Rhinolophus ferrumequinum: one gene and its partners. The protein of the gene in region 2 interacts with the protein of the main gene of each other region in a pairwise test. Links are inferred from orthologs where the notes say so. Each region holds a gene or a part of one and is shown on either strand. Other genes may lie near its edges. The genes, in order: MYOD1, ID1 and MYF5.

Region 1 (10,702 bases), on a different chromosome or scaffold from region 2:
CATACCCCATTATCATGTCTCATCGCACCCTGTACTTTGCCTTAGAGTACTCTCCGCATTTACAACATTGCATTTGTTCCCTTGGGTCTTTGTCTGATGGCTATTTCCCTAATGGATTTTAAGCTGTCTGAGGGTAGGGACTGTGCCTTCAAGGTTCTCCACTGTACCATCAACACCTACACTTTATCTGGCACAACTGTCTCCACACCTATGCTTTCTCTCCCATCCCCAGTCACTGCCCCAGGTCAGGCCATGTTATATCTCCTCTGAGCAACCCTGGTGGCCTCCTGACAAGTCGGCCATCCTCCCACTCTGTCAGCCCAGACTGGCCTTTCTAAAATATACATTTATTTGTATCCTTCCCCTGTTCAGATTCCTCTCTGTTTCCCTGTTGCCTTCAGGATAAAGCACAAATGAGGCCCTGTGCCTGCTTTCCCCCCATCTCCCTTCTGGCCCCTCCCTGTGAAATTTTTGGTTTCATGAAGGCACAATTTGCTTTCTGTCGCCTCTGGGTCTTTGCACTTGCTGTTTCTTTAGCTTGGAGCACTCTTCTTTGGCTCCTCTTTCCTGACCAACTCCTTCAAGATTCTTATTAGGGGTTACCTGTTTGTCCATACCTTCTGTTCCTACTATGTTCCTCTGCCACATACACCCCCATTATAGCACTTAATTCATTGTGATGTCGCCAGCTGCTAAAAGATCCAACCTCCCCACATATCTGGGTGCTTCCCAAAGACAGGAATTGCGTCTACTGGTGTCTGTTTTCACCCAGCATAAGACCTGGCATCTGTTGAATGAATGAATTCATGAATGAGCCCCAAGGAATCTCAACGGACTATAAAGAACCCCAAAGTGCATAAGGATCCCCAAGGTGCATCTGTGGAAGAAGCCAGAAGAAAAGCCGAGGATCATTAGTAACAGAGCAGCTCTGGCAGCTCCTCGGGGACCCTGTGTCGGGAAGAGTAAGGCTCTCCTTACAGCAGACAGCAGATCCCCAGATAAGTAATGAGGCCCTTCCTTCTGGCATCACATCTTGCCTTCCTCAGGGCCCCCCACTTGAGCAGAGCCCTGGAAAGTGGGCTTGCAAGGTTTTCAGGAAAAAAAGGGTAAAGGTGGGATGTGGGGAGGTCCTGGTGGCAAGCGTATGTGTTTTGGGGGTGGAGGTGGTGTGCTCTGAGAGTGGGGAAGAACTTTTGCCAGGCCATCCCTCCAGGGGACGACAAGGGCCTCTGGGAGGGCAGAGTGCGTGTGTGTGTGTGTGTGTGTGTGTGTCTCATAAGACACAGCTCAAGTGGCACCTCTTCCAGGAAGACTTCGCAGCACCCTGGCTAAATCAATGGCCCCTCCTCTGCTCTCAGAGTGTTTATATCTTGATGAGAGCATGTATGCGGCCTGTGATGATAACAGGTTTACATGTGCCCCTCTTCTTGCAGGCTCTGGGCTCCTGTTTCTGTGAGATATAGCAGTGCCCAAAAGCTGTAAGTGCTGGGTTACTGGCTAAGTAGAAGCGCCTGTCCCTGTCTGGCCTTCAAAGTTTTCCCCTTGTGGTTACGCCTGTCACTAAGAGCCTGTAAGTACCACACAGCTTACCGCCTCTTCACACTCACTCATACCGTGTTCCCCCGAAAATAAGACCTAACCGGAAAATAAGCCCTAGCATGATTTTTCAGGATGACATCCCCTGAACATAATGCATCTTTTGGAGCAAGAATTAATATAAGAGCCGGTCTTATTTTCGGGGAAACACGTAATGCTCCGAGCACCCTATCGCATCCTCTGTAGCCATGAGGATTCTGAGTGGCACCTGGGGCCATTACTTCCCAGTGATCCTTCTGGACACCACACCTGGGTTCACTCTGTGTATGGAGGCGTGTGATTCTCAACCTTGCATTTTGAAAAATGGGGAGCTTTTGAAAAATACCAACTCTGAGGTTCTGGGGCAGATACCTTAAAGCACAACCTTTGGTGGCGAGGAGACCAGGCATGGGTCTTTTTGAAAACTATTCAGATCATTCTAATCTGCACCCTGACAGGAGAACCACTGACCTGCGTGTGGTGCTGCTCCTCACCGTCTTAGAAACCTCCCCACGTATGGGAGGCACATCGCTTCTTTCTCCTGACCTCAGGCTTCCTCCTTGCAATCCACCTGCCGCCTACAGGGCTAGTTGCGGTACTCCTTTGTGGATTTTCCGTCCCCTCAAAATCCTGCCCCCATCCCTAGGGAAAGCCGGAGCCACCTCGGTATAAATTAGCGTTTTTATTTCCAACACCTGAGCGAGCGCCCGCGGCTCGCCCGCTGCAGTATAAACATACAAAGTGCCTGTCGCACCGCACACCATGCCTCAGAGATAAATACAGCCCTACGGGCTCCTGCTCTGTCAAAGCAACTCTTATTTACAGGAATAGATTACAAAAGTATTACAAAAAAGTGGTCCTGAACAGGGGGAGGGGTGAGAGTGGTTACCGTTACACTTGTTACACTTGGGACCTGAGCGCACCCCGCTGGCTGTGGGAAAGAGCGCGTGTCTTCGGGGCTAGCAAAAGGAGAGGCCACGCCCCCATAAGCGACCTCGGCGTCAAGGGACTGGGGTCGGCGCGGTTCCCACCCCCATGGGGGAAAGTGTCGAGGAAGAGAAAGGGCCTGGCCCCTCCAGAGTCATCTGTGGCCCACCGAGGAACACATAACGGCCATCGCAGCGGGTCTCAGAGAAGGGTGCTGCGTGGAAAAAACGGGCTGTGTCCTTGCCCTGGGGTGCGGGAGGCAGGAGACACATCAGTTCTCCTGCCTATCCTCCCTTGGGAAGGGTCGCTTTAAAAGCGCAGTTGGGGGGGGCATTTAAGCTCAATCTTTTGGGTGCGAGGGACCCTAGGGGCACCATCCCTCGGGCAGGTGGACAGCGACGTCCTCCGACGCGGCCGCCCACACCCTCAGAGCACCTGGTAGATCCGGTTGGGGTTGGCGCCCGCGGGGCACTGAGGAGCGGCGTCGGGGGTAGGGGTGGGGGCGCTGCGATCGCCCTCGCTCGGGGCGGCGGCCTCGTGTGGGCCGGGAGACAACGCCGGCGGCGCGTCGGCCAGCAGAAGCGCGGGCGCAGTGGGGCTGTCGGTGGAGATGCGCTCCACGATGCTGGACAGGCAGTCAAGGCTCGATACCGCAGCGTTCTTCCCGGGCCTGGGTTCTGCGCGGGGAAGGGTAGGTTAGTATGTAGGTGTTGAGCCGCGGACAAGTCTCCAACTTCTGGGCCCAGTCCTTTGCGGCAGACGGGAAACTGAGGACCTGCCATTGTCTGGGGCTATCCAGAGAGAGTGGGGAGCGAAAAGAGAGGGAGCTACATGCTTAGTATTTCCTTCCTTGTGCCATCTGCCATGATGTGTGTGTGGAGGGAGGAGGAGGGATGGGGCAGGGATCCTAGATAAAGGGAAGCTAGGGCAGGTCAAAGAGTAACGTGAGGAGGCGCGAATACGCACCGCTGGGCGCCTCGCTGTAGTAGGTGCCGTCGTAGCAGTTCCGCCGCCGGACACCGCTTGGGGGGCCGCTGTAGTCCATCTGCAAACGGCAAGGGCGACCGACTCAGGCCCGTGGGACCAGGCGAGCCTGGAACATCACTCTCTTTGGCCGCCCCTCCACAACTTCCCAAATCTCACCCTCGAATTTCCTGCCCTGATAGGGGTGGGGGTAAGGGTGGGCAGGAGCTGTCTGCAGTATGCAGGGCCAAATAGAGGGCAGACTGTCACCTAGGGCTACAAATCTTAATTTTGATAATAAGGACAAGTGTAGAAAAAGCAGACCACGGCGCAGAGGTGTTCTAACAGTGCTCCCCATCGAGTGGATTGCATCTGTACGATGTGTTCCCAAAACACTAGGCCACCCCAGTGGCAGCTGCCCGGGACAAGGGGTCCACTCCTGTCCAAACCTCTCCCTGGAGGGTCAGTTAGCTCCCCGCCCTCGGAATGGCTTCCCAGATACTCCCGAGAGCTGTCCCCACTTCTCTTCTAGCCCGGGGTTCCAGCCTTACCATGCCGTCGGAGCAGTTGGAGCGCGGGCTGGACGCGTCCGAGTCGCCGCTGTAGTGCTCACCGCCGCGGCCGGGGGGCAACGGGCCGGGCGCGTAGAAGGCGGCAGCGGCGCCAGGGGGCGCGGCGTCCTGGTCGCGCAGCAGCTCCTGCAGGCCTTCGATATAACGGATTGCGTTGCGCAGGATCTCCACCTTGGGCAGACGCTGGTTAGGATTGCTAGACGTGCAGCGCTTGAGCGTCTCGAAGGCTTCGTTGACTTTGCTCAGGCGGCGCCGCTCGCGCATGGTGGCGGCCTTGCGGCGGTCAGCGTTGGTGGTCTTGCGCTTGCATGCCTTGCAGGCCCACAGTAGACAGCGACCCGCCTGGTGGTGCCCGCTGGGCGCGCGCACATGCTCGTCCTCGCGCGCGCCGGGGGCCGGGTGCACGGCCGCGGGGAAATGCGATGGCTCCTCGGGCTTTAGGAGCGCGCCCACGTGCACGAGGCGCGGGTCCAGGTCCTCGAAGAAGCGCAGGTCCGGGGAGTCGAAACACGGGTCATCGTAGAAGTCGTCCGTTGTGGCAAAGTTGCAAAGAGAGCCGTCGGGGCCAGTCAAGTCTACGTCGCGGAGTGGCGGCGACAGGAGCTCCATATCCCGGCGGGGAGCAGCGCAGTCCTGGCTTCGCCCAACCCCGGAGGCAGGGATTGCCCGAAACTTTCTTCGGGTCTCCTGCAGCGCGATAGCGAAATGCTGGGGGTCTGACCGTCCAGTACCCTGCCCCGTCCTGTCCCGCCTGATGGACTCCGCGGAAAGTAGCGGCAGCTCCCTGGGGCTTCTCCACCCCTATTTTCACGCCAGGCGCCGGGGGCGGGAGCGGGCGGCTGGGGGCGGGGGCGCCCGAGGCCAATAGGAACGGGACGGGGCGGAGCTTGGGATCCCCAGGGTGGCCGCAGGGGCTAGAGACTGGCCAGGCCCCGATCCCTAGACGCGCGCGCGCGCGCGTGGTCCGGCTCCTCCCTAGGCAGGAAAGGAGGCAGAGGCTGGCAGCCCAATGCTGCTACACTTGGCTCCCGGGCACACTCTTCCCAACCCTCTCCAGCACAGGACTCCTCCTATCTCTGCGGAAAACGCTGGCCGCGCGGGCTCTCACTTCCCAGCTGACTTTGGGCCCCTCTGTCCTCTGATTTGCGGGGGACCCAAAGCAGAGTAGGAGTAGAAATCAGACCTGGAGAAAGACACATAGCAATGGGGTAGAGACACACGTAGAGCTGAGATAGTGAGAGAGATATATGCAAGAGGCTGAGACATTTAGCGAGCAGAAAGCTGGGGAGTCAGAGGCGGAGAAACGCGCAATGAGAGATAGACCCGAGAGTCAAGTAGGCAAAACTGAGATAAAGTGGACGTGGTGACCATGCCATTAGGCCAGTTCCTGCTCATTTTCCCTGGACGCTTAGAAATCCAGTCTCATTTATACAGGAGTCCAGGATCACTACTAAAGCTTCATGCCAATCTTTCCAAGCTCAACTCCTGCCCCGGCCTGGAGGGAGGGAGGGAAGTGGACGCCTGCCCGAGTCAAACTGTGCATTTTGGCAGCCAGGTGTCCAGTGCTGCTCTCAGAGATGCCTCTTCGGCTGGGAAGAAAACGCCATCTCCTTGGGGCTTGCCTCCGCCTCGCAGTGCTGCATCAGGAAAGTTCATCGCGCAAAGGCTTGGAAAGCCCAGACTCCAGAGTGGAATCTTTGAGGGTGGAGTTTACAGACCAATGACCTAAGTTCGAGTCCAGACCCCCAGTTTCATGCGTGATTTTGTGCAAGTCACTCGCCTTCCGATCCTGTTTACCCATTGAGGACAACAACAGCAATCTCTTAGAGTGATTGTGGTGGTCGGTGGTGAGATTCTGGAGACCAAAGATGTGGAAGCCTTCAGTCTGAGATGTAAGGCTATACTAGCAAGAGGGATTGCTTCTGTTGCTGGCACCGGTTGGCTGGTGTGCTCTCTGTGGGCTTCCCAGCTGTTAGCTGGGGCACAGAGCCCTGCCAGGGGCCCATGTAATCTTAGGGCTCAGCTCCCAGAGGCCGCAGCTGCATTTCTTCCCAGCAGGCCCACTGCAGAGACTGGGGATAGGAGGAGGCAACCACTCCATGGCATCTCTGGCTTCCTCACAAGCCTGAGGTCCCCCTACCCCCATAGGTCTGCTCTGCAGTTCACACCTTCCTCTCTGCACTCTGGCTAGAGGTCTCCCTTGAACCAGATACACCTACTGAGGTCTCTCTTCCTAGAGCCAAGAGATAAAAGCAAGAGTGATCTTTGTGCCTCTCCCACTAACTTCTGGGATCTGTCCTAACTGACCCTTGGGTGCTGGGAAGTCCTCCCTTCCCATCAAACCTCGAGGGCTCTCTTGGAGCCCTGCCTTCTTAACTTCTCTGCCACTTGTGGTAGTGCTGAAGGTCTTCTTCGTGAAGTGCTCAAGTCCCTTCATTCCATAAAACCACCTTCATTTATTCATTTAACACATTATGGAACATCCATTATGTGCCAGGTACCTGTCTAGGTGTTGGAGACAGAGCAATGAACAAAACCAAGACCCTGCTTTCATGGTGCTTTCATTTTAGGGTAGGGTGACAAACAATAAACGAATGAGCAAGGAAGTATATAATGTCAGGAGGTTATAAGTTCTACAAAGAAAAAGAAAACAAGGCAAAGGAACAAAGTGATGAAAGTTATTTCTCTGGGCTGATTATATTTGGGCAGAAACCTGAATGAAAGGAGGGCAGAAGCAGATATCTGGAGCCAGATAGAGGGAAGAGCATGTGCCAAGGTCCTGGGCAAGACTGTTTGGCAGACTTAAAGTGCAGCAAGGAAGCTGGTATGACTAGAGCAGGGTGAGCAAGTGGGAGAGTGGTGGGGGATGGGTCAGACAGAAAGCAAAGGAATTGTATTCTGAGATGGAAAGCCACTGGAGGGCTTCAGGAGAAGAGAAGAATGTCACCATCGGACTTAATTTTAATAGGAGGATACTGGTTATGGAGAGCAAGGGCAGAAGCAGGGAGACCGATTAGGAGACTATTGCAATAACCCAAGTGAGTGGTGATGGTGGCTTAGATCTGGCTGTCAGCAGTAGAGATGGTGAAAGTATTTGAATTCCAGATATATTTTGAATAGGGAGCCAGCAAAATGTATTCGTAATTGGATGTGGGCAGTGAGACAAAGAGGAGTTAGGGTTGACTTCTGAAAGAATGAAGTTGGGGAAGAGTAAGTCTGCCAAGAGTCCAAATTTGGGCAAAATTTGAAATAAGTATTCAATATCCAAGTGGTGATGACAGGTAGGCAGGGGGATTTCTGAGGCTGGCATTCCAGAAGGGAGATCTGGTCATGTGGAAGACCTGTCCATTTGACCTCTAAGACATCTCTCAAGTCTGTCCATCCCCAGTGTGACCACCTTGGATTAAGCTGCCACACTGCTGGCTTGGGTGACCCCAGTAGGGGATGCTCTCCTCGTTTCCACTCTTGCCCCTGTATAATCCATTCACTACACAGCAGCCTGAGTCATCCTTTAAAAGCATAAATGGGATTATATCCCTCTTGTGCTTCAAACTCCCCAACAGCTTCTCATTGCATTTAGAATAAAATCTCACCTCTTCACCCTGGCCTGTGAGGCGCTGCACGACCTGCCTTCAGCCCATCTCTGCAATTTCACCTGGAACCACTGTTCTCTTTGGTCACCCCATTCTAGCATGACCTCCCTTCCTGTCTTCCAACACTTGGAGCCTTGTGCTCGCTGATTATCGCAGTCTCTTCCAGGCTCTTCCCAACATCGGCTGCTTTTTATATATCACGTCTCAGCTCAAACGTGACCTCCTTGGGATGTCTCTAAGACATCCTCTCTAGGACAGCTGCATCACATCACCCTGCTCAGGTCTTTCTTAGCACAGCCGCTCTTTAGTTATCTTCTTTATTCGTTTGCTCATTGATTGACATAGTCCCATCAAGGCAGGGATGTTTGATTCACCATGGCCTTTTCAGAAACCATCACAGTGGCTATCACACTGTAGGAACTTGATAAATGTTGAATGAATGAATGCGTGGCCTCATGCCCTTTGAATTTCTATGCATATATTTGAACTTCTTGAAACATGTCTTTAAGGTGGATGGTTGTATTCCTTCTAAACTGGATAGTCGCATACATGATTAGACATACATGCTCAGTCATACTTGCTTTTTCCAGGCAAGACTCAGGCCCACGGGGCTGGGACATGCTCCTTTAGGTTGAGCGATTATACATGGCCTGCTTTAATATTGTCTTTTTTCATTTGACTTACACTCACAATGAGGAACATAAATAATGTGACATTGGTGATTTAGATTGAACCAAGTATTTATCAAGCCTCAGCAGAATGCCTGGCACATAGTAGGCACTCAATAAATACTTGTTGGATGAATGAATGAATCAATCAAACCGTTTAATTGAAGAGTACCCTGAGATTCCAAGTGAACTCTTCAAACCACTTATCCGTACGAATCTAGACTTCTCAGACCTGAGCAAGCAAAGAAAACATAGAAATAATTTGGATACCGAGACTGAAATGATTACAACCTTGCTTTTCGTGTTTTGCATTCATAAAAATCACCTCAGCGCCATCATCAAGGTGACTCTACAGTAAATAAATGTTATATGTTCGAGCTTACTGAACGCATTTAATATTTTATCGCTAGTGGCTTAGAAATCTAAAATGCTTTGACAGTTTTACACTTGATTTGTAGTTTCATCTTCAGTAATTAGGAAGCACTGTTATGAAACCACACACATGCTAGTGGTGCATGCCACTTTTATATTAGATTTCCAAGTGGGATTTTGTTTGCTACGCAGTTTCTGATGCTTAAACAGGGTGGCACTCACTGGACTCAGCGACCGTGACAGACCCCTCCAGGCCTGGGACCCGTGCCTGCTCAGGGTCACTCTCCTGGTTGTACCACCACCTCTTTGGGGGAGAGGTTTGCCTACACCACCATCCCATTGCTGTTGCTGAAAGAGCAGGGAGAAGTGCATCCGCCCTGAGAGCTGGCCCCTTTTAGTCCTAGTGTTGGGGGCAGGGAGGGAAAGGACGTCCAGTTTGGAAGCTGAAAGAGTCTAAACCCTTATATTGCAGAGTTTAGTCAAGGGTGTCTCTCGGGAAAACAGGTGCTGGACTTGTTCTGGAAGAGCCTGGTGGCAATGGGCGAAAGGACCTACGGAGGGGGCGTCCTCCAGCACCTGTCGGTCCAACTCAGGCTGATCAGAATGGTGGACTGTGTGATGTGGGCAAATGCACACCTCACCCAGGTCCTTGGTTTTCCAGTCTTCACAATGAGGAGTAACTTTGGCAGCAGGTGGGGAGGCAGGGCTCCCTGGACTCTTCTCCCTTCACCCTTTCCAGTCCTTCTTCCTCAGCTCCCTTGGCCAGCTTGCCTGGGGCTATAAATGGAGAGCCAGCCTCTGGGCAGGAATGCAGAGCGTTCCTGGCTGGGCCCCACAGAGTTGCACCCTCAGGGAGCGGCCGGCCCCAGGGCTCCCGGCCGCCTTTATATATACATATATATATACATATATATATATAGCCTCTGGAAACTCAATCCAGCCTGCACCTGCCCCAGTCTTCAAGCACCCTGCCCCTGCCCAGGCTGGATCTGTGGCCTCTCCCCCTGGGCTGGCAGAGGCTGCATATCTGGCTGGGGTTGTGGGGTGGGGTGGGGTGGGGAGGTGCCAAGGGCCAGAGGGTGAAAACATGAGTGAGCAGGTGGACAGGGCCAGCCCCAGATCTCCTCTCTGTCCCCAGGCTTTCCCTTCTTGTCCCTAGATCCACCCTGGGTACCCCTTTCTGTCCCCTGCCAACTTTTCTCCCCGGAAAGCCTGAAACTGCCTGGTACTAGATATGAATCCTGCCCTGGGACCAGTCTGAGGTGGTCAGAGAGTATAGAATTGGTCCAGATTCAGGGCCAGGGGCCGAGAGATTTTTACAGATGGCCACACTTCTCACTTTGGAGTACTCCCCAGCCTCCCGCATACAAGCAGGGCTTGGGAGTTTAGCAGAGGAGTTGGAGAAAAGGGGTCCATGTGGAGGGGGAAGGGCATGGTGACAACAAATGGCAAGGGTATTTCCTTCCTGCCCGGTGTGCAGGGAGTGGCTGTGTGGGGCAGTGCGTGTACTGTGGGCACTCGGTGATTCATTCACTCACTCAACAAATACTTACGCTGCCCATGTTCTGTGTCAGGAGCTGGGAATAAAGCAGGAACAAAACAAAATTCCCTGCCCTCGTGGAGCTGACATTCTAATAGGCAACACCGACAGCAAACAACAAGCATATTGATAAGTAAATTCTGGAGTATGGCAGAAGGTGAGACGTGCTGCAGAAAAACATTAAAAGCAGAGCAGGGTGAGCGGGATTGGGGTGTCCGGCGCAGACTAGCTGCAGAATTAAATCAAGTGACATTTGAACAAAGAGGTAAAAGGAGTTTGGGAGCAAGCCATACGCCCATCTGTAGAAGAGCATTCCAGGCAGAGAGACCAGGTCATTATTGAAAGTCACCTCTGCCAGGAGCAGGGGATTCGATGGAGGACAGACAGGCATGGCTCCTGCTCTTCTAGGAAACTGTGGCCTGAATGTCTGATGCTGCCTGCGCTGGGTGAGGGGTGTGGGGGTGGCACGAGGTGGGGTTTGAGGATGGCTTT
Region 2 (9,260 bases):
CCAGAGGAGGGATCTTGCAGGTAGAAATGAGATGTGGTGACAAAGACATAATGAAAAGACATTTCCATTCATCACCAGGGGCTCCGGTCACCTCTTGGCATAGTTTATTTCACTCACAATCACTCTACAAAGAGGAATAAGCATTAGCTCTAGTTTACAGATGAGGAAACTGAGGTACAGCTTGTCAGTTGTAGAGCCAAGACTTGAAGGTGTCAAGGGCTGGTCCCTTTTCCTCTCTGGGCCCCAGGGTTCCCATCTGTGAAATGGTGCGTTATAATAGTACAGCTGTCATCAGCATCAAAGAGCAGCTGTGAAAATCAGATGGTGCCAGGTGCGCGTAAAGAGCCTCTCAAGAAGGATGAACCCTGGAGTTTCATTTAATGAGTCCTCCAAGCTTCCTGGCCACCAAAAGAGGGGCCTATTTCCCTGAGATGACTTGGTAGGTAGGACTAGGAGGATAAAAGGCTCACTCAATTCACACTACCAAAGAGAGGGCCAGCAAAATGCCCACTTGGCAATAAGATAAACAGGCCTTAATAATGTAAGAGATAAAAACCAATTTTCTGGAATGAAATGAAGCTAATTTTTCCCCACAGGCCTAGGATGTGCATGTGTACAGGGGGAGAGGCTGTCATTGTTTCACTTGGGAAGTTTGAGGGGAGCGCAGTGAAGGGCATGTTTCAGGGAATCTGAAAGCTAGTCTCACATGGCTCACTAAAACCCCCCAGAAGTAAAACTGCAACCAAATGGGTCCTGGCCTGAAACTGAACAGACACTATTCCTATCTACTGTTTACTGATCACTTACTATGTGCCAAGACCATGGCAGGGGCTTTGGGACCCTAATCTCAATGATTCCTCACGGTAACCTAAGGAGGTAGGAGTTTCATTTTGTCAGTGAGGAAGAAGAGGCCCAGAGAGGTGAAGCGTCTTGCTCCAGGTCATACAATATAACAAAGATTTGAATCTGACCTGTTGGGCCCCAAGCCCCAGCCCTTTTAACTATTCTGCAGCCAACTGTTTCTCCTCAAAGTGTCAAAGCTTTATGTTTGTTCAGAGGCATGCTCCTCACATGTCTTCATTCAGGCCATTTCCCCTTGTGCCTTTCCCACATGGAATGGCCAGAGAAGAAGTCACCTTCTCTAGGAAGCCCCTCTGATTTCCTCCAAGGCAGAAACTCATCCTTTTTTTGTGTTGCTAAGTTACTTAGCAGGAAATTTTCATAATATAGTCTTAATGTAGTTAGCATAGGACCTGGCGGGAGGTGGATGTACACAAATGTTAATTGGGGGTCCTAATTATCCTTTAACTTTCTCTCCTATTTGTCTGCTTGTCTGCAAAGTGTCTTTGACATTCCACCGCATGCCAACAAGCAGGCCAGAAGGAGGTATACTAAACATTTCAGGTTGGCTTTTTATTACACAAAGTAGCACACAAATACACTTCTGTTTAAAAATATATTCAAGAAATACCTATGTGAAATGGATCAGAGACCTAAATGTAAAACCTAAAACTACAACTTCTGGAAAATATAGGAGAAAATCTTTGTGATCTTGGGTTAGGCAGGGATTTCTTAGATATGACAAGAAAAGCATGAGCCATAAAATTAAAAACTGATAATTGGACTTCATCAAAATTTAATACTTCTGGGGGCGGCTGGTTGGCTCAGTTGGTTAGAGCACAGTGCTCGTAACACCCAGGTCGCTGGTTCGATTCCGACATGGGCCAGTGAGCTGCACCCTCCACAACTAGACTGAAAACAACAACTTAACTTGGAGCTCATGGGTCCTGCCAAAACACACTGTTCCCCAATATTCTACAATAAAAAAATTAAAAAAAAAGTGATTGCGGTTAAAAAAAAAAGTGATTGCAGTTTAAAAATAAAAGATATTTAAAACTTCTGCTCTTTGAAAGACACCAGTAAGAGGATGAAAAGACAAGAAACACACTGGAGAAAATATTTGTAAATCATGTATCTGATAAAGGATTGGTTTTCAAAATATAAAAAGAACTCTTAAAACTCAGTAACAAGAAAACAAGCGACCAAGTTAAAAGAAATGGACAAAAGAGAAAAGGGTAGCAGGAGGGATCCTTGTGATGGAGCTCTTCTGTGCCTCCACTATGACAGTGGTCACAGGCATCTATTGAACTGAATACACACACAGATGGGTGCACGCCAATCAGGTGAGATCTGAATTTCACATGAAATCTTGTTGTTACCTTGTACTGTAGTTGTGCAAGATGCTACCATTAGGGAAACTGGGTAAAGGATATAAGGGGTTTCTCTCTATCATTATTATTATGTTTTTAAACTTTTAACTTTATTTCAAGTGTGTTTTTCCAGGACCCATCAGCTCCAAGTCAAGTAGTTGTTTCAATCTAGTTGTAGAGGGTACAGCTCACAGTGGCCTATGTGGGGATCGAACCAGCAACCTTGTTGTTAAGAGCACCGCGCTCTGACCAACTGAGCTAACCCGCCGCCCCCTCTCTATTATTTCTTTCTTTTTTTTTTTTAATTTATTGGGGTGACAATTGTTAGTAAAATTACATAGATTTCAGGTGTGCAATTCTGTATCACATCATCCATAAATCACACTGTGTGTTCACCACCCAGATCTATTATTTCTTATGGCTGCATTTGAATGTACAAGTATCTAAAATTAATTTTTTTTAATGAGCAAAAGAAGTGAATGACACTTCATGAAAGATGAGTGGCATATAAGCACATGAAAAAATGCTCAACATCTTTAGTCATTCAGAAAATACAAATTAAAACCACAGCAAGACACCACAACAAATCTATTAGAATGATTGAGAAAGTCTGACCACATCAACTGTTAGAGAAGATGTGAGGACCTGGATTCTCCACACTGCAGATGAGAATGCGAAAGGGTACACCTCCTTGGGAAAACGCTGAGCAGTTTCTTACAAAGTTAAATACATACCTACTAGGTGACCCAGTCATTTCACTACGAAGTATTTGTCTAAGAGAAATGAAAGCATAGATTCATATAAACACTAGCATACAAGTATTTGTAGCAGTTTCCTTTGTACTAACCAAAAACTATAAGTAACCTAAATGTCTATCAACAGGTAAATGGATAAACAAATTGTGTTATATCCATACGCTACTGCTACTCAGCAATAAAAAGGAATGAATATGGATGGATCTCAAAATAATTATGCTGAGTTAAAGAAACGAGTCTGAAAAAGCTACAATAAAGAGTATATACTTATAGATGATGTAATACACAATTGTACACCTGAAATCTATGTAATTTTACTAACAATTGTCACCCCAATAAAAAAAAAGAGTATATACTGATCACTGCACTGTACACCTGAAGCTGAAGCTGAACAATAATGAATGTCAACTACAAGTTTATATATACATATATATGTATATATATATATATATATATGTATATATATATATATATATATGTATATACTTACAAGAAGCAGAGTACAGCATTAGGAATAGAGACAGTGGAAATGTAATGGCTGTGTGCGACGTCAGAGGGGTAGTGGATGGGGGGAGGGGGGTTGACACAGTGTGAGGGATATAAATGATAAACATGTAAGTATTACTTTGTTTTGTGCACCTGAAACTAATAAAAAAAATCAAAATAATAAAAGAGTATATGCTATATATACATTACATATGGATATACTCTGCATGTATATACATATATATGCACAGTATATACTGTACTTCATTTCTATAAAAATTCTAGAAAATGCAAACTAATCTATAGAGAAAACAGATTAGTAGTTTCTTGGGTGGGAAAGTAGAGAGGGAGAGATTACAAGGGGCAGAAGAAAAATTTTAGGGGTGATGAAGCATATGTTCATTTTCTTGATTGTGGTGATGGTTCATGGGTATATCAAAACTTAACAAGTTGTATACTTTAAATATACACAGTTTGTGTATGTCAATTATACTTTAATAATACTGTTTAAGACCAAAACAAAAGTTAAATACCTATGAGAAGATAAAAGTGAAATTCCCTTTCCACATTGCTCTTCTTCCCTTCTCACTCCTTTTTACAGTGGTAACATTAGTAATTTCATGTTTATACTTTTTTCTTCTAATGTTTTTATTGAGGTGCAATTTAAATACAGTGAAATGCAATGTGCCTTGACTAATTCATACATTGTGTAATCCACACCTCATTTTGATATGGATCATTTCTGTCACTTCAGAAAGTTCCTTCACACCCTTTCCCTGGCAACTTCCATTCTCCACTCCCAGAGGCAACCAGCATTCTGATTTCTTTCACCATACATTAGTTGTGCCTGTTCTAGAACTTCATGTAAGAGAAATCATGCAGTATTGTGTTTGAAATTTTTTCTGCAGCATAATTTCCTCTCTCATTTTAAATTCATTTCCAGATACATGTATACTTGGGAGGAGTATGTTTGCTTTTTTACATACAAGAGGTCCTAATTTAACCTCCAGTCTAACTCTTGCTTTCTCTACCAAAGGTAGAAAAAACCTAGATATCTCTCAAGAGCTATCCTTCCTCTGCTGTAGGGCCACTCCACAGCACTGATGTTCTATTCATCATTTATATAACGCCACTGTTGATGGATATTTAGGTTATTTCAACTTCCCCTCTTGCAAACAGCACCTCAGTGGACATCCTTGAGCAGACACCTTTGTGCCCCCTGTGTGTAGGTGTCTCTGAAGTTGATTCCAGCAAGTAGCATTGCAGGTTCAAGTAATAAACACTAGATAATGGATTAATATTCTAAGTTCATCTGTTTGGTCATTGTCCTTCCAATTCTTTAGCAATTCTTCTGCACAGAAACATGTTCTCTTCAATTATTAGAGGATTGCTAAACAAGCCTAGGGAGTTTGGAGATCTTGCATGATGGGGAGACCAGCTAATTAATTGATGATGTCTCTCTCCTTTGAAACCGGTCTCCCTGGTCAGTTTTCCTGGTTTCCTCATGTGGAGGTCCGTGGCCGATTTATTGTCCTTTCCTCCAAACTTCTGTAGGAAAAGGAAACCTGATGATACCCAGTGAATTAACTGCTAAGGGGAGGAAAGTCCATAATATCACCCTCCCCTGTCTGGGATTAGAATTTTAGCCCTGCTAACACTGTGTGTCCTTGAGTAGCTATTCTAAGCCTCAGTTTCCCTGCCTCTGGCCAATCTAGGGTTCTGGAAGCAGACTGCCTGCCCTGGCAGGAAAGGATTGCTTTACAATGAAGTGCGCTTTTATAATAATGCAGCCATTACAACAGCTGTGGCTCCTGGGAGGCTTTTTGAGTCTCAGTTTCCTCCATTGTATAAAGAAACCAAACAGCTCCTCTCTTGAGTTGTGGCAAGGATTACAGAAGATGATAAAGGCAAACTCTTCACACAATGCCTGCCTGCCACGAAGTAAGAACGCAATAAATTGTCACCTGTGTGATTATTATCGAAATACTTGGCAGATGTTAGGACTCAGGGGCCTGAGACTCAACTAAATTCACCTAGCAGTAAAGTTGGAATCGGAACTCGGGCGTTTTTCCCCAGGCTGGATGGAGGGGGAGTTGAAGGTGGGGAGAAACCTCCCAAGCGGCCCAAGCTGTGGGCCTGGTGGGGAGATTCCAGGTGTGGGGCGGGGAGGTAAGGTTACCCTTGTCCGGCGACCGCGCCCTCTAGGAGCGCATTCCCAGGCCTCTCGCACGAGGTCCACAGGTGACTGGCTTGGGGCTGGGGGAGCGCAGAGTCCCGTTTGCCGTCTCCATGGCGACCGCCCGCGCGGCGCCAGCCTGACAGCCCGTCCCGGTTTTATGAATGGGTGACGTCACGGGCCTGGCGTCTAACGGTCTGAGCCGCTTGTTCAGACGCTGACACAGACCAGCCCGGGAAGCGAGGGGGGCGGGGGAAGAGCCTCGAGCTCCGCAGCTGCCGCGCCGTGGGAGGGAGACCCTGCTCCGAGGTCTTTGGGGCGTGGGGGTGGGGTGGGGTGGGCGGGAGGAACAGCCAAAAAAGGGAGAAAATATTTTAAATCACTAGTTCATGCAGCTTTGGGGATTTTTTTTTGCAGGGGCTGCAAATTCAGGGTAGAATTAGGAGATGCATCCCCACTCTGGGAGCCTTCTATCTGGTTCAAGTCCCAGAAGCTCAGCCCCCAATCCTAGAGGAAGACTTTCCGAGGCTAATTGCTCCCACCGAAAGGGCCTGGGTAAGTCCCCCAGGAACATTAACCAGCAACATTCTCTGGGAATTGGGAAAAAGAGAACAGCCCCGGGGAATGGAGTGTAAAGGAGATCCCGTTTTAAATTTCGGCCCAAATATTCGCGAGATCGTGGTCCCAGAGGTCATTTTCCAATAGGGTCCAAAAGCCGGGGCTCTAGTAGTGAGCTCTCTGGGCGACTCAGAGCTAGTCCCTTCTCCATCAGGGCCTCAATGTCTCTCATCCGGGCTGGAGAAGCGAGAAAATGACCCCAGGAAAACTGATTCTTGAAGTTTTTTCGTTATCGGCAATATCAGTTTTGCCTCCTCCCGGAGGAGTCCAAGACAGCCCTCGCCTCCACTAGCCACCCTGCCCTGTACCCTCCCACTCTTTTGGTTCCTGAGACTCTGGTCCCTTTTCCACGCCCTCCAGGGTGCGCTATCAGAGCAGGAGGCGGGGCCCAGAAGCTCTCGAGGCCACGCCTCTACATCTCCCATTGGATGCTTTTGAACGCCTGAGCCCGCCCCTCGGGGTGGAGCCGCAGAGCCTTTATAAATAGTGGGCTGTGGGGCTTCGCTCGCGCATTCTACAACCGACTCTACAGCGTTAAAAGCCCTTCCCGCGGGTCCTTCCCTCGCTTTCTCCGTTTCGTCTCCTCTCCTACACCAACGCCATAATCATGAAGGTTGCCAGTGGCAGCGGCGCGGCAGCCGCGGGTCCCAGCTGCGCACTAAAAGCCGGCAAGACGCCCGGCGGCGCTGGCGAGGTAGTGCGCTGTCTGTCCGAGCAGAGCGTGGCCATCTCTCGCTGCGCCGGCGGCCCCGGGGCGCGCCTGCCCGCCCTGCTCGATGAGCAGCAGGTCAACGTGCTGCTCTACGACATGAACGGCTGCTACTCACGCCTCAAAGAGCTGGTGCCCACCCTGCCCCAGAACCGCAAGGTGAGCAGGGTGGAGATCCTCCAGCACGTCATCGACTATATCTGGGACCTGGAGTTGGAGCTGAACTCGGAATCTCAAGTCGGGGCCCCAGGGGGCCGGGGGCTCCCCGCCCGAGCTCCTCTCAGCACCCTCAACGGCGAGATCAGCGCCCTGGCGGCCGAGGTGAGGTCCGAAATGGAGCACGATATCATTTTCCTTCTACAGATGGGGAAACTGAGGTTCACAGAGGAGGGGGTCTTGGCCCTACGTCCACCCCAAACCTTCGGGCACCGGGCTATGTAAGGGTGCCCAGGGAGATCGATAAAAGCGCTCCCTCGTGTCTTCTGGGGAAGGGGGCGCTTGCAGCCTTGTCTCCTCCAAACCTCCCGTCTCACCTATTCTCTCTTCCTTTCACAGGCGGCATGTGTTCCAGCGGACGATCGCATCTTGTGTCGCTGAAGCGCGGTCCTCCGGCATCGGCGGACCCCAGCCCTTCGGGGCGGAGGAATTAGTGCTCTCTGGTCCTCCCAAGCGCTTCATTGCAGCTGGGGAGAAACAAAACCGAGATCGGCGGCCATTGGGCGCTTGCTAGAGCCAGCCCAGAGCTGGGGGACTGACGAGGGCAGGCCGACCCTCCCTCCACACCTATCAGCCACCAGAGACTTGGGGGGAGTTCCCCCCGTGTGTTTCTATTTTTTGAAAAGCAGACATTTTAAAAAATGGTCACATTTGGTGCTTCTCAGATTTCTGAGGAAATTAATTGCTTTGTATTGTATATTACAATGATCACCGACTGAGAATATTGTTTTACAATAGTTCTGTGGGTTTTTTTTCTGTTGTTATTAAACAAATACTTTAGATGGTGGTCACGTTGCAGTGTTCTTGGATTGAGGGGAGGGGCCTGGGCTGGGGGGATGACCCCTGACCCTTTTTGCAGCTGGTGCTTGGGGGAGGAGGACTGGAAGGCCACATCTGGACTGTCACTTTTACCGGCCTGAAGTGAGTGTTTCCGGTGTCTTTAAAGTCTATTCTTATCCCCTATCCATGGCTATTTTCCTGCTCCCTAGTGTCATAAAATTAAATCCTTTGGGGTTTCTCAAAGTGGTCATTGGGCCATCTGGGTCACCTGGGGAGGTTGTTAAAATGCAGATCAACCTGCCAAGATCCCCTCTGGGTTGGAGTATTCAACAAGCCATTTAAGTTGGAGAACCAGGTCACTGGACCACCTGCACCTTTGCCAAGATGGGGGAAGTGAGATCCAGAGGAAAGGGACTTGCCCAGAGCCTCAGCTTATCTAAGACAGGACTTCATTGCCCCATTCCCCAGTAGGAGGTGCCTCCCCCAATGGGCAGCCTAACCCTGGGTTCCAGCAGTCTGCCCTGGAGCTCCAGGCTTGTCCAAGTGGGTGAGCAACTTGGCAGGACTAGCCTGGGCACAGCTGCAGGGCCACCTGCTCTGGGTTCGGACTCAGCCCCCTCACCCTGGCCTGGCTATGCCAGAAGCTCATAGAAACCTCCTCTCTCTCCCCCAGGGCTCCTGTGTGGGTTCTGAGGAGTGGGCAGGTCAGTCCCCTGCTCCTGAGCAGGAAAAGGGTGTCATCGGTAAGGGCCTATCTGCCTGGACACGTGCATGAGTTTGTACTCATGGGGGAGTGCATATGAGTGGGCCTGTGTGTGGGACATGAACTGCTGTTCCCCCCCTCCCCTCCCCTGTCGGGCTGGGTCCTCTGGTGTACAGGCATGGGGGTGTAGTCAGAGGGCAAATGTGAGCATGTGTTCTGCAGATAAGTACAACCTCCAGTTGTTTGGGCTTGTGTGTTGTGCCTAAATGCATTGTGGGCATCTCTGCATGGATTTGGCGTGATGGATGGGTTTGCTTGTCTAGGGGCTGCAGAACCACACTGGGCTCCTAAGTGTGTAATTGTTCTGTAGATTGGCTGGCATTCCTGGGTCTTGGCTGGTCAGGGGTGGCGGTGGGGGCAGTTGTATCCAGGCAAACCCTTCCTTGAAAGTTCAAGTGCCTCCTTTCCTGGGAATTGTTAGCCCTCAGGACACCAACCCTCAAGTTTCCCGGCCAGGTCGAATCCCATGTATTACACAGGGAAAAACCAAAGTCCCCGAAAGGGCAAAGCACTTGTCCCAGAGAGGATAAGAACTTAATATTATTTT
Region 3 (10,089 bases), on a different chromosome or scaffold from region 2:
AATGATCACCATTTGTATTAAGTCCAGACCAATGGAAAACTAATGAAATACTTTGAGGCATGATAATATTCACTGAGAATATCAAATATATCTGCAAGTCATAGAAGTAACCAAAGTTATAGAAGTAACCAGGGTTTGGTAAGAAGGAAAGTTCACTTCTATTCACTTGAATTAAAAATTACATAATGTTCTCTGTTTACTTTTATTAAATGCAACAGAGTACAGTGGTGTGCTTTAAAACTGAACTTAAAAAATACAAGTTGACCTTTGGATAGTTCCTTTTATTCTAATTCTACCAAGAATAACAACAAATCTGCAACCTCCCCATAAAGTATAAAAAGGAGAAAAAGTACCTAAAAAAACAAGTAACTCAAATTTATGTTGAAAGTATATGTAAATCTCTATCATGCCCTCTTGAATTCTCTATGCCTCAAATCCTCACACTCCCAAATCATGGGATAAAGGACTTAGTATGTGCTATTAGTCAGTATCCCATGTCAGAGCCTGAGGTTAACAGACAGTGATTACATTAGTTTTTAAACTCAGCACCTTTTCTCTCCCGCCTTTTATGAAATAATTTCCATTCTTTTAAGCCTGATGACTGGACAAGCACAAGAAAAATCACATCAGAAAGAAAGGAAAACCTTCCTGAGAATAGTATGATTGCAAAGCTGTACCAGAGTCCGATACTTCGGTTGATTAATATATATAACTACAAATCCTTAGCAATTTTAAACTAATGTACAAATTAGAAGATGAAACAATTATTTTTATTGCTCTCTGTGCTCAGTTACTTTAGATGCTTCAAGGCTATTGCCTTTTTATCTCTCTCAATGGTAAACTTGTGAGAATTATCCCAATGACTGTCTCAAACTAATTTTCCACTTAATTGTTTTATTTTTTTCATCTCAAATCTTTCTGAAGGAGATTTAAAGTGATGAACAGTAAAAGGTACATATCTTTCACGCACACAAATATACACACACACACACATACACACATACGAGTACACATAAAATATGATTAGTAAAAGCAAAAAGGCTGTGAATAGAAACTATTGCACTCTGCTTCACTTTACTATAGTTTGTGTAAGTTTTCTTATTCTGACACTTTAACAACAACAACAAAATCAGCTCAATCAGCTCAATACCTTTAAATATTTTATTGACAATATTAATATATTAATAAATCAAGATATTTTCAGGCAGGTAAATATGACCTAACTCATGATTTCTAATGCACTGTAGGTAGTAAATGATGTAATGGTATATATTCTTCTTAAACATGCTGTTGCCTGAATAACTTCTACCTCCGGTCCTCCACACACATACAACTTGACATTATATGGTACAGTACTAAGATAAAGGAAAATTTTTATTTAGCAGGCTCCCTGGAAATATGATTAAACTGGAAATATGGTATTTTCATTTGTGACATCAACAGGACCTAAACTGAGTCCATGAGATGGTAAATATTCAGATTTATCCTCAAAGCCAACTTTTGTTTTGTTTTGTTATTTTTAGCCCTATCTTAAAGATTTCATGTCAATGACTACTAATTCCATTAGAGGTATTCTTTCAAAAAATCATGAACCAAAATATTTCTCCATTTAAACAATTTTATTTATGGTGGAATTTCCAAAATGTCTTATATCTTGAAATTATCCACAAAGTACTATTTTTGTGCTTACATTAAAAAGATGTATTTCTTATAAGAAAAGATCAATATATATACCATTAGGCAGTATTATTATAGTTTTATTTAATTCAATATAATCAAAGGGTTAAAGAGAAAAACAAAAGTTAAATATATTTAAAGTTTCCTGTAACTGGTTTCCAGCTGTTCTAATGTTTTGAAGAAAAAAATAAAGATCTAAACACCAGAGATAATATTTTGATAAGTGATATTTATAAAAAAACAAAAAGTATAAGTTAAGCATTGTAACCAGCTACCTTCAATGAATTGCCCCCTATCAGAAATAATATTAGAACTATGTATCTAAAGCAAAGAAGAAGGAAAAGAAGGAGGGAGGAGAGAAAAGGAGAGGAAGAGAAAAGAAATAAAGTATTAATTGCAATGGTTAAGTTTTTAGTTAAATACACTTTCTTATAAAGTGGCAAGGTAGTATGTACAAATTTACAACTGAAAGGAAATCTATGTACAGGTTGTCTTGCTTTTGGACTCCTTGGGCCTCCTTCCTCCTGTGTAATAGGTCCTCCTGGCAGAATTGATTGAGACTAGATGTTTAGTTCATAGCACATGATAGATGAGCCTGGAACTAGAGGCCCCTGGAGTTGCGGGCTGTGAATCAGTGTTGGCAACTGGGGAGAGAGAAGCGGAGTCCTGGAGAGGCAATCCAGGTTGCTCTGAGTTGGTGATCCGATCCACTATGCTGGATAAGCAATCAAGGCTGGATAAGGAGCTTTTATCTGTGGCATATACTAAGGATACAAAGAGAAAAACCATTAAAAAAAAATCACCAAATATACAGACTTGCTTATGTTGCCCCTTAAACTGTAGGTCAGCACCTTTGACACCAAGAGGTCAGGTGGTCACAGAAAGCCTGATGCAAAAATCTTCAACAAATATCTAGCAATTAATGGGGTGAATGTAGGATGCAGAAAAGCCCTCTAGTAATATACCAAGAGAACGTGCACATATATATGTATTCATTAGGTGCATTTTGTGTGTAGTTTGCTCTGCCATGATCTCCCCATAAGAACCATCACTTCTATTCCCTTCCCCGGTACTGCCAGGAAGGGCAGGCTCTGCTTTAACAGGCTGAATTGTGAAGTTGAACTGGTCTTTCAACTCTTCTGAAGTCATCGGTTCTTACCATTTGATATATCAGGACAGTAGATGCTGTCAAAACTGCTGCTCTTTCTGGACCAGACAGGGCTGTTACATTCAGGCTACAGTACAAGACAAAAAAGAAGTTTGTTTTTAAGTCTTGGCAAAAGATTCTCTGACCTAGAGAGAGGCAGTGCTTGCCCACTAGCTCCGTAAACTGACCCCTGTCAATCACCTTCATTGCCTTGATGTAGGAAGAGTTAGCCCTCACCAAGTTGCAAGGGCACTGAGGTCAATCTCTGTGCTTGGGGAAGAGGAGTGCAGCAGCAAAGGGAAAAGGGGGGTGGAATTTAGCAGCAATGTGCAGTGGGTTAACCATGCAAAATGGATTGGAGTAGAAGGAAGCCACACTAATTCAGGGAGAGAACACTTTCCCAGGGCAAAAACACATTAAAACCTGGCAGCGTTGGAGCAAACGCTCTCTGTAATGAATGCATCACCATCTCCATCCAGCCAGGCCTCAGCAAAACAGGGACTGGAGCCACGAGGGTATTTCTTTCATTAAGTTATAAACTGTAGGGCAGTGGGAATTTCAGAGTTGCCTCTAGATGTTAGTGAATGGAAGGCTCCACTGATCGTATATTTTGGAAATAAACTGAGCAATGAAGAAAACATGTGATTGATCATTCACAGCCACTTATCTCACATGACACCTCTCTTCTACAACGTACATGTAGAACCTGATAGGAAGTCAAACTAAAATGCTGTTCAACAGCTATGTTTCCCAGCATCTTTTGAAATGTGGCACCTCTCTTCCCTTACAGCAACTGTCTGCCCACCCTCAACTATCCACCAAATAACCTTTGAGTATTTGCTTGCCACACCTGGTTTAAATGAGATGTATGGATTTTTGGCAGAGATTGGAGTGACGAAGTAGGTACCAGAGCTATCTCTTACCATGCCATCCGAGCAGTTGGAGGTGGGGCTGGTGGGCTCCGAGCAGCTCTGTCCCGGCAGGCTGTAGTAGTTCTCCACCTGCTCCCTCAGCAGCTCCTGCAGGCTCTCGATGTAGCGGATGGCATTCCTGAGGATCTCCACCTTGGGCAACCTCTGGTTGGGGTTGCTCGTGGTGCACCTCTTGAGCGTCTCGAAAGCCTGGTTGACCTTCTTCAGGCGTCTGCGCTCACGCATGGTGGCCGCCTTCCGCCTATCCATGGTAGTGGACTTTCTCTTGCATGCTTTGCAGGCCCACATGAGGCAGTGGCCAGCCTGGTGGTGGCCTGTAGGTGCCCGCACGTGCTCATCCTCGTCTGAGCCTTGCAGCTCTGCTTTGTGCGCCCCGAAGGCAGCCACTCGTGGCTCAAACTCATCCCCGAATTCGCCCTCGGGGGACGGGATACAGGAGCCGTCATAGAAATACTCAGAAGGCGAGAACTGGCAGCTATCCATCATGTCCATCCTCTATGGTGAGGCCGGCGGGGCACCTGGACAGCAGTGAGAGAGATGAGGGAGAAACTTGAGCCCGGAGCGGCTGCTGGACAGCCAACCTCGGGCGGGCGAAGCTCCCTGGTTGGTTTCTCCGGTAATTAACAAGGGCAGACGCCTGGCGGCCTGGGTCTGCCGTGCTGGGGTTAGGGCTCTTTATATATTCTTGGGGGAGGGAGGCCGGCCCCAGTGGCCAGACACTATTAGCATATCCCACCGCCACCCGCGCTGGGACTGCCTGGGCAAACCTCCGTCTTTCCTCTAGAGACAATTTGCTGTTTACTGCTCTTTTTGACACTAATGGTTTTACTGCATTTCTGCGGGGGAGGGGCATGGCTCCCCAACCTGCTCACTTGCACTTTCTAGATTCACTTAGAGTGTCACAGACAAAAGGAAGGAAGTCCAACTTTTTGCAATTATTCACACATTGAAAAACAATAGATAAAACTCCCTACTCTCAGCTGACACCAAAAGTCTACCTGCCTTCCCATTTAGAGATATGGGTAAATGACTTTAGTTTTAGGTGTTTGTTTATCTTTTTCACAGACTTTAGTGATCTCAGGCTTCTTTTTTTGTCAGTGGACCGGAATAACGGTTGCTAAAAACTTGAAGTGACACTTTCAATCATGGAGTGAAATCTAGATTTTTTTTTTTAAATATGTATTTTGTTCAGATCAGACTGTCATTTTATAAGCTCTATGTTATTGGGAGTAGGTGGGGTGCTCACTGCTCTGAGTTCTCTCTCCCTGTCTGCTCCTCTAAAAGGAGGTGGGCTCAATCAGGGTTCAGGTGACAGGGAACGTCCTTCCTTCCTTTTCACCTTCTGCACACGTTTATTGAGCGCCTTCTCCTTTGCACCAGGCCTTTGCTAGACCCTGGGCTGGCGGAAGATACACATCGCGGCGTCTCTAGGATCTGTATTAGAAGAAACCCAGTTTTACACCGCGAACTCCCCTTCCAGGGGCGCGTCTCCTTTCTCGCTCTCTATCTGCTCCGCCCTATCATTTCAACAGACTAAACAGCCAAGCTGGGCTTTGGGGTCGCTGATTTTCTGCTTTCGGGCAAACTCGCACCGTTACAGATGCATCCCAGCTGCCGGCACAGCAATCCTTCTCGGCTCGTGTAAAATTTCCAACTCCTCAAACCCTGAGTAACTTCACACACTCCCGCGACAAAAGCCTTCCAGAAAAGCAATCGTAGCAGGGTCTTTGAAACTTTTGTGGGTAAAAGACGAGAGGGGAGAGCTGTCATTTAAATAAGAATGAATCTATTAATAAGCTTTTGCCAATCGTCCTCTGGCCTTCACCTACTTCCTGATCACTGGGGGTGGGGGGTGCAGTTTATCTCTAGGAAAAACAATTACTTAAGGTTTACACAAATAGACTTAGTCTGGGGGTTTGGACCCATTAAAACATGAGGGAATGTTCACATCTCGATCTGCGGTCATCCAGTACAGTAAGTATGTGGCTCCAAAGTTCTTTGTGGGAGAGGGGCACTTTCCTTTCTACCACTTTTCTGTAAAATTATTTTCCTAAAACAACACTGGCTGGCTGATTTCACGTCCGCAGGGGCCAGATAAATGTTAACTTTTTCAGGGTGAGATCCTCTCCCCAAAGTGAAGGTCCTGAAAACCAGGGCTAGGAGAGTGACAGTCACTAAGGTTTGCTACAGAGTTGCAGTCCCCTCTCCCATGTTGTGTCATCCCTAAGGCAAAGACACCACGACCATCATGCTTGGAAAAATCAGGCTCCCTTTCACACCAACGGGCTGCTTAATTGTCTGGCCAGTGGGAAATCCATCTGCACCTTATTTAGGACTATTAACAGGTGAATGCCTTTGAAATGAATACAACACCCAGGGCTACACCAGATAAAAGAGTCAAGTTCCTAAAGGACCCAGGCCGAATGGAAGGCTGCATCCACGGGTGGAAACACTGGAATTCCTGCACATTGCTGCCTCTGAAATACAATAGTGGGGCCATCTCATCCAGGAATTCTCAGCCACGTCCCACAACTTCTGGCCAGCAGCAGCACTACCACTTTCTTTGGCTATGGAGTTCAGATCTTAGCACACTGGCTACAGCTAAACAGAATTATGTGCAGATTTATGATCTGGGCACAAATGAAGTTGCTCCTTAAAGTTTAGGTGGAAGGTAGAGGTTTCACTTTTGCAACCCTTTCAGCTGATTTCTTGCCACCACACACCTAATATGCTTTGTACCAATTCTTCAGTGTGGCATATTTGTAGCAAACAATTATTAAGACTTTTCTATTTGCCACGCACTGTTCTCAACCATTCCCATGTATTCACTCATTTACTCCTTCCAACGACTCTATGGGGACTATTAATAGAATCATTTTTAAAAGAAGGGAACCCAAGCTCCAGGGGTAGGTGGTAATTTGTCCAGGCCACACAGGATTAGGAAACTAGTCATTCCCTTGTCTAGCTTGTAGTCCTAGAGGTAAATTTTGTTTGTTTTCTTCTTCTACAGGTTCAGGCTCAGTGCGAGTGCTTAGCGGTGCAGAGCAGAAACTGGAAAAGCTGGGTCCCTGACGTCTTCCCCTCCGCTCTCAGTCCTGGGAAGTCGCTGTCACTCAGGAGGCTCTGTCAGTAACGGTCGTTCTCAGATGTTAGGGCTGTCTTTGGTAAGGTGATCTCAAAACAAATTTACCAGAGTGCCGCGGCGATTGGAGCTAAAGAAGCCAAGAAAACACAAGCGTCCAGCGGCTTAATGGGACTTGCTAGCGGGGAAACAGGGTCCGGGGTTGACGACCCTTGGGACTCAAGTGCTGAAAATAGGATCTCAGAGCACCAAAATCAAAAAACGAGACAAAACCTTTAAACCGCTGTTAGGGGTGAGAGGAGAAAGATTAAAAAGTGGGAGGCAGTGTACAAAGAAGGAGGGGAGCCCGGCTCCTCAAAGATGCCTGGGGTCCCCCAATTCAGGAGAGGTTCCGCTGCTTTTCCCAGGGGAAACCTTGTGAGAGAAAAATGGGAAATTGCGTGAGCGATACAGAGAAAAAAAAAAAGTTTTGTTTGTTTGTTTGTTTGTTGTCTGAGGGGGGAAATTGAACAGGGAAGTATTTTCACTTTAAAAAGTTCTGTTGGTTATTTGGTTGCCCTCTTTTACTCAAAATCAGACTAGCTTTGGCTTTTGTTCCTCATACAAAAGACTTAAAATACAATCTGTTTTCTACTATTTCTCCAGAGAAGAGGACTTCTCATATGCAGAGAAAACCACATGTATTTTAACATGTAAACAGTTGTAAGAAATGATGAGTCCGACACTGACTGCTAGGAAAGCCTAGGAGCAGGTAGACAGGAACAGAGGGGAAGAAAACTAAGCCACATAGGGTGTTATAAACAAATGCCCACCAAGGTTCTGGAGAAGTAGATAGTCAATTTTTTTTTTTTTCATTTCACATTCTGAAGAAAAATAAATACAGGTTTGATGTTCTTTCAATTTAGACTTATAAGCAGGTTTTAATTGCTTAGACTTTTAAGTAATCATCAACTTTTCTTTTTAAGGGAAACTATTTTAGTTTAAGCATTGTGGCAACAATCCTAGTGTTGATGGACAGACCGCACCAGCAAAATGATACTCAGAGCTTCCTTTCCTAGTAAATTTTGCCCTCCCTAGGAATTCTGGATTATTGAAAATTCTCCATGCTTCTCTTAGTGGGAGAAGCAAATGTCACAGAAAGACTAGCCTATTTCAATTCATTTCTGCCTCTGCCTGAGACCCTTAACAACTCTGGGACAAAGGGAGTTGTTCTGGAGATTTTTGCTTATATATGACTTCAATGTGCTACACAATATCAAACTGTTATTAGCTCTGGGAACCAGGCACACCTAAGTAAACACATTAGTACCTGCCAAAGCTGCTGGAAGAATTTGTGGAGAAGACAGCTGAGGAAGACATTGGCTTCTGCTTGAATTCGAAGACTCCCAGGAGAGATCAAAGGCCTAAATAAGGACTTTTAGCAGCCTTGAGAGTAGAGAAAGGAGCCAGTTCTTGCAGCATTATCTTTGTTCCAGCACATGGCATAGCCATTCCATCTCATAGGCTGACTCTGAACTAGGCTTGCAAAATTGCTTTTCAGAATGAAACCTCTAAGACCAAGGATCATCTTTTGTAACACTGCTTTTGAGTTTAAGGGAGTGACTGGAGGGGTCTGTTGGAGAAATGTGTTGATGGCTTGGTTCTTTGAGGAAATACCATGCTATTGCTAATTTACTATTGCACCAAGTTAGGTAATGAGATATTCAAAGTTTAAACTAAAACATTTAAAAACTATTTTCCCATATATGGTGTTCTGGGAGGAGGATTTTGAGATTAAAACATGGGATAAAATATTACTAAGAGGAACCCACAAACAGATACATTCTAATTTTAAGTCAAAAATATCTTAATAAGGATAAAGGTCAGGTTAAGCAACCCAAGACTTTTCTGGCCACCTCAAGAACAATTAGAAACACTGAATTTCAGCACCACATTCTCACCCCCCAACCCCCCAAACATGTGATAGAGCCTGGGGGCAAAAAAAGGAAGAAAAGATTGTATTAGACATAAGTTGGATTTCCACTATGTTCAGGCTTGGAATTCAATGATCCAGGTATGATGATTCAAGTTAGTTTGAGAAAACTGACATTTCACTTCACGTTTCACAAACTGTATCTATAGTAATATTAAAAAACAAAAAATCATTCATTATTTTATATGGGATATCTTTATGCTTGCCTCTGGGAAGAGGCTCAGTTTAAATCCCAAATTGCTTATTTTTACCAAGTTATTACATCTTGATTTTCTGCTTCCATGGCCCTGTTTTTTGTTTTTTTTCTGTTTGTTTTTGGGTTGTTTTATTCTTTTGTGTTTTTCTTGTGTGTGTGTGTGTGTGTGTGGCTTTGGCTTTGGCCTTAGTAAAGATTAACATCATTAATATCCAATAAAAACATTTTAATTGCAAACACACCAAGGATTTCATTGGAAAGCCTAACATGTCAGCTACAGCAGTGGAGGTCACATGAAGTCTTTGGGAAATATTTGCTCTATTTAATGAAGAGACTTCTATAGGCAAACTTATTCCAAACAATTTCTCAAGTTACCCAGCTAGGAGAGATAGAGAGGATTTAGTTTGCAAAGACTGAATCAAATCTATCAGCAAGTAAAGTCCATGAATTGATAAAAGCATTCTGCTGCTGAGCAGGTTATAACACAGATCTTATTTTAAATATATGTGCAATCATAAAGTAAAGGAGTTCACTTGGTCAATTATATGGTATTTGACTTCAGCCGTGGTATAAATCTGATTTTTTTAAAATATAGGTATGTGAATATACATACATTTTAGGGAAAATATTGATTTTCAGGAAAAACATAGATACCTAATAATAAGCATGAGTAATGGTTATACACACCACCCAGATATATTCACACATGTTCTGGTTGGATAACTTGAAATGCTTTCTCACTTATTTTGTAGTTAAATTACTAGCTAATCGCTCTTGAGGAAGAGCTTTTGAAAAGCAACTGTCAAAAAGAGCCAAATTATTCTACAGAGAATGGATGTTCCTTCTTATCTCCCAAAGGTTATTTTTGGGGGTGCATGGTGATGGAGAAAACAGGCTGGAAGCCTTTGAAATTGACTGGCTCCAAGTTCTGACTCTATACTCACAAATGCAAGAACCTCTCTGTTCCAAAGCATCCTTTTTCTCTAAAATAGAAATAACCATTGTACGTCTTTCACTTGTTGTACTATATGAGTTAATATGTAAAATGCTACAAGTGGCTCATTAATGTCGCTGCTGGTCTCA

Evidence for each region.
Region 1: the proteins of ID1 (region 2) and MYOD1 interact in a two-hybrid assay, tested with the Homo sapiens proteins (5 studies listed by BioGRID). The link is inferred for Rhinolophus ferrumequinum from reciprocal best matches to the Homo sapiens genes ID1 and MYOD1.
Region 3: the proteins of ID1 (region 2) and MYF5 interact in binary tests that used the Homo sapiens proteins (3 or more experiments, as listed by UniProt). The link is inferred for Rhinolophus ferrumequinum from reciprocal best matches to the Homo sapiens genes ID1 and MYF5.

The regions. Positions count from the first base shown.
Region 1 is NC_046294.1:36,064,446-36,075,147, forward strand, and holds MYOD1 (myoblast determination protein 1), read right to left. Parts: upstream 4,799-10,702; 5' UTR 4,647-4,798; coding exon 4,017-4,646; intron 3,548-4,016; coding exon 3,469-3,547; intron 3,180-3,468; coding exon 2,929-3,179; 3' UTR 2,243-2,928; downstream 1-2,242. UniProt on the Homo sapiens protein: Acts as a transcriptional activator that promotes transcription of muscle-specific target genes and plays a role in muscle differentiation. Together with MYF5 and MYOG, co-occupies muscle-specific gene promoter core region during myogenesis.
Region 2 is NC_046306.1:22,840,263-22,849,522, reverse strand, and holds ID1 (DNA-binding protein inhibitor ID-1), read left to right. Parts: upstream 1-6,617; 5' UTR 6,618-6,852; coding exon 6,853-7,275; intron 7,276-7,509; coding exon 7,510-7,551; 3' UTR 7,552-7,651; downstream 7,652-9,260. UniProt on the Homo sapiens protein: Transcriptional regulator (lacking a basic DNA binding domain) which negatively regulates the basic helix-loop-helix (bHLH) transcription factors by forming heterodimers and inhibiting their DNA binding and transcriptional activity.
Region 3 is NC_046293.1:74,209,314-74,219,402, reverse strand, and holds MYF5 (myogenic factor 5), read right to left. Parts: upstream 4,292-10,089; 5' UTR 4,249-4,291; coding exon 3,748-4,248; intron 2,913-3,747; coding exon 2,837-2,912; intron 2,442-2,836; coding exon 2,251-2,441; 3' UTR 2,201-2,250; downstream 1-2,200.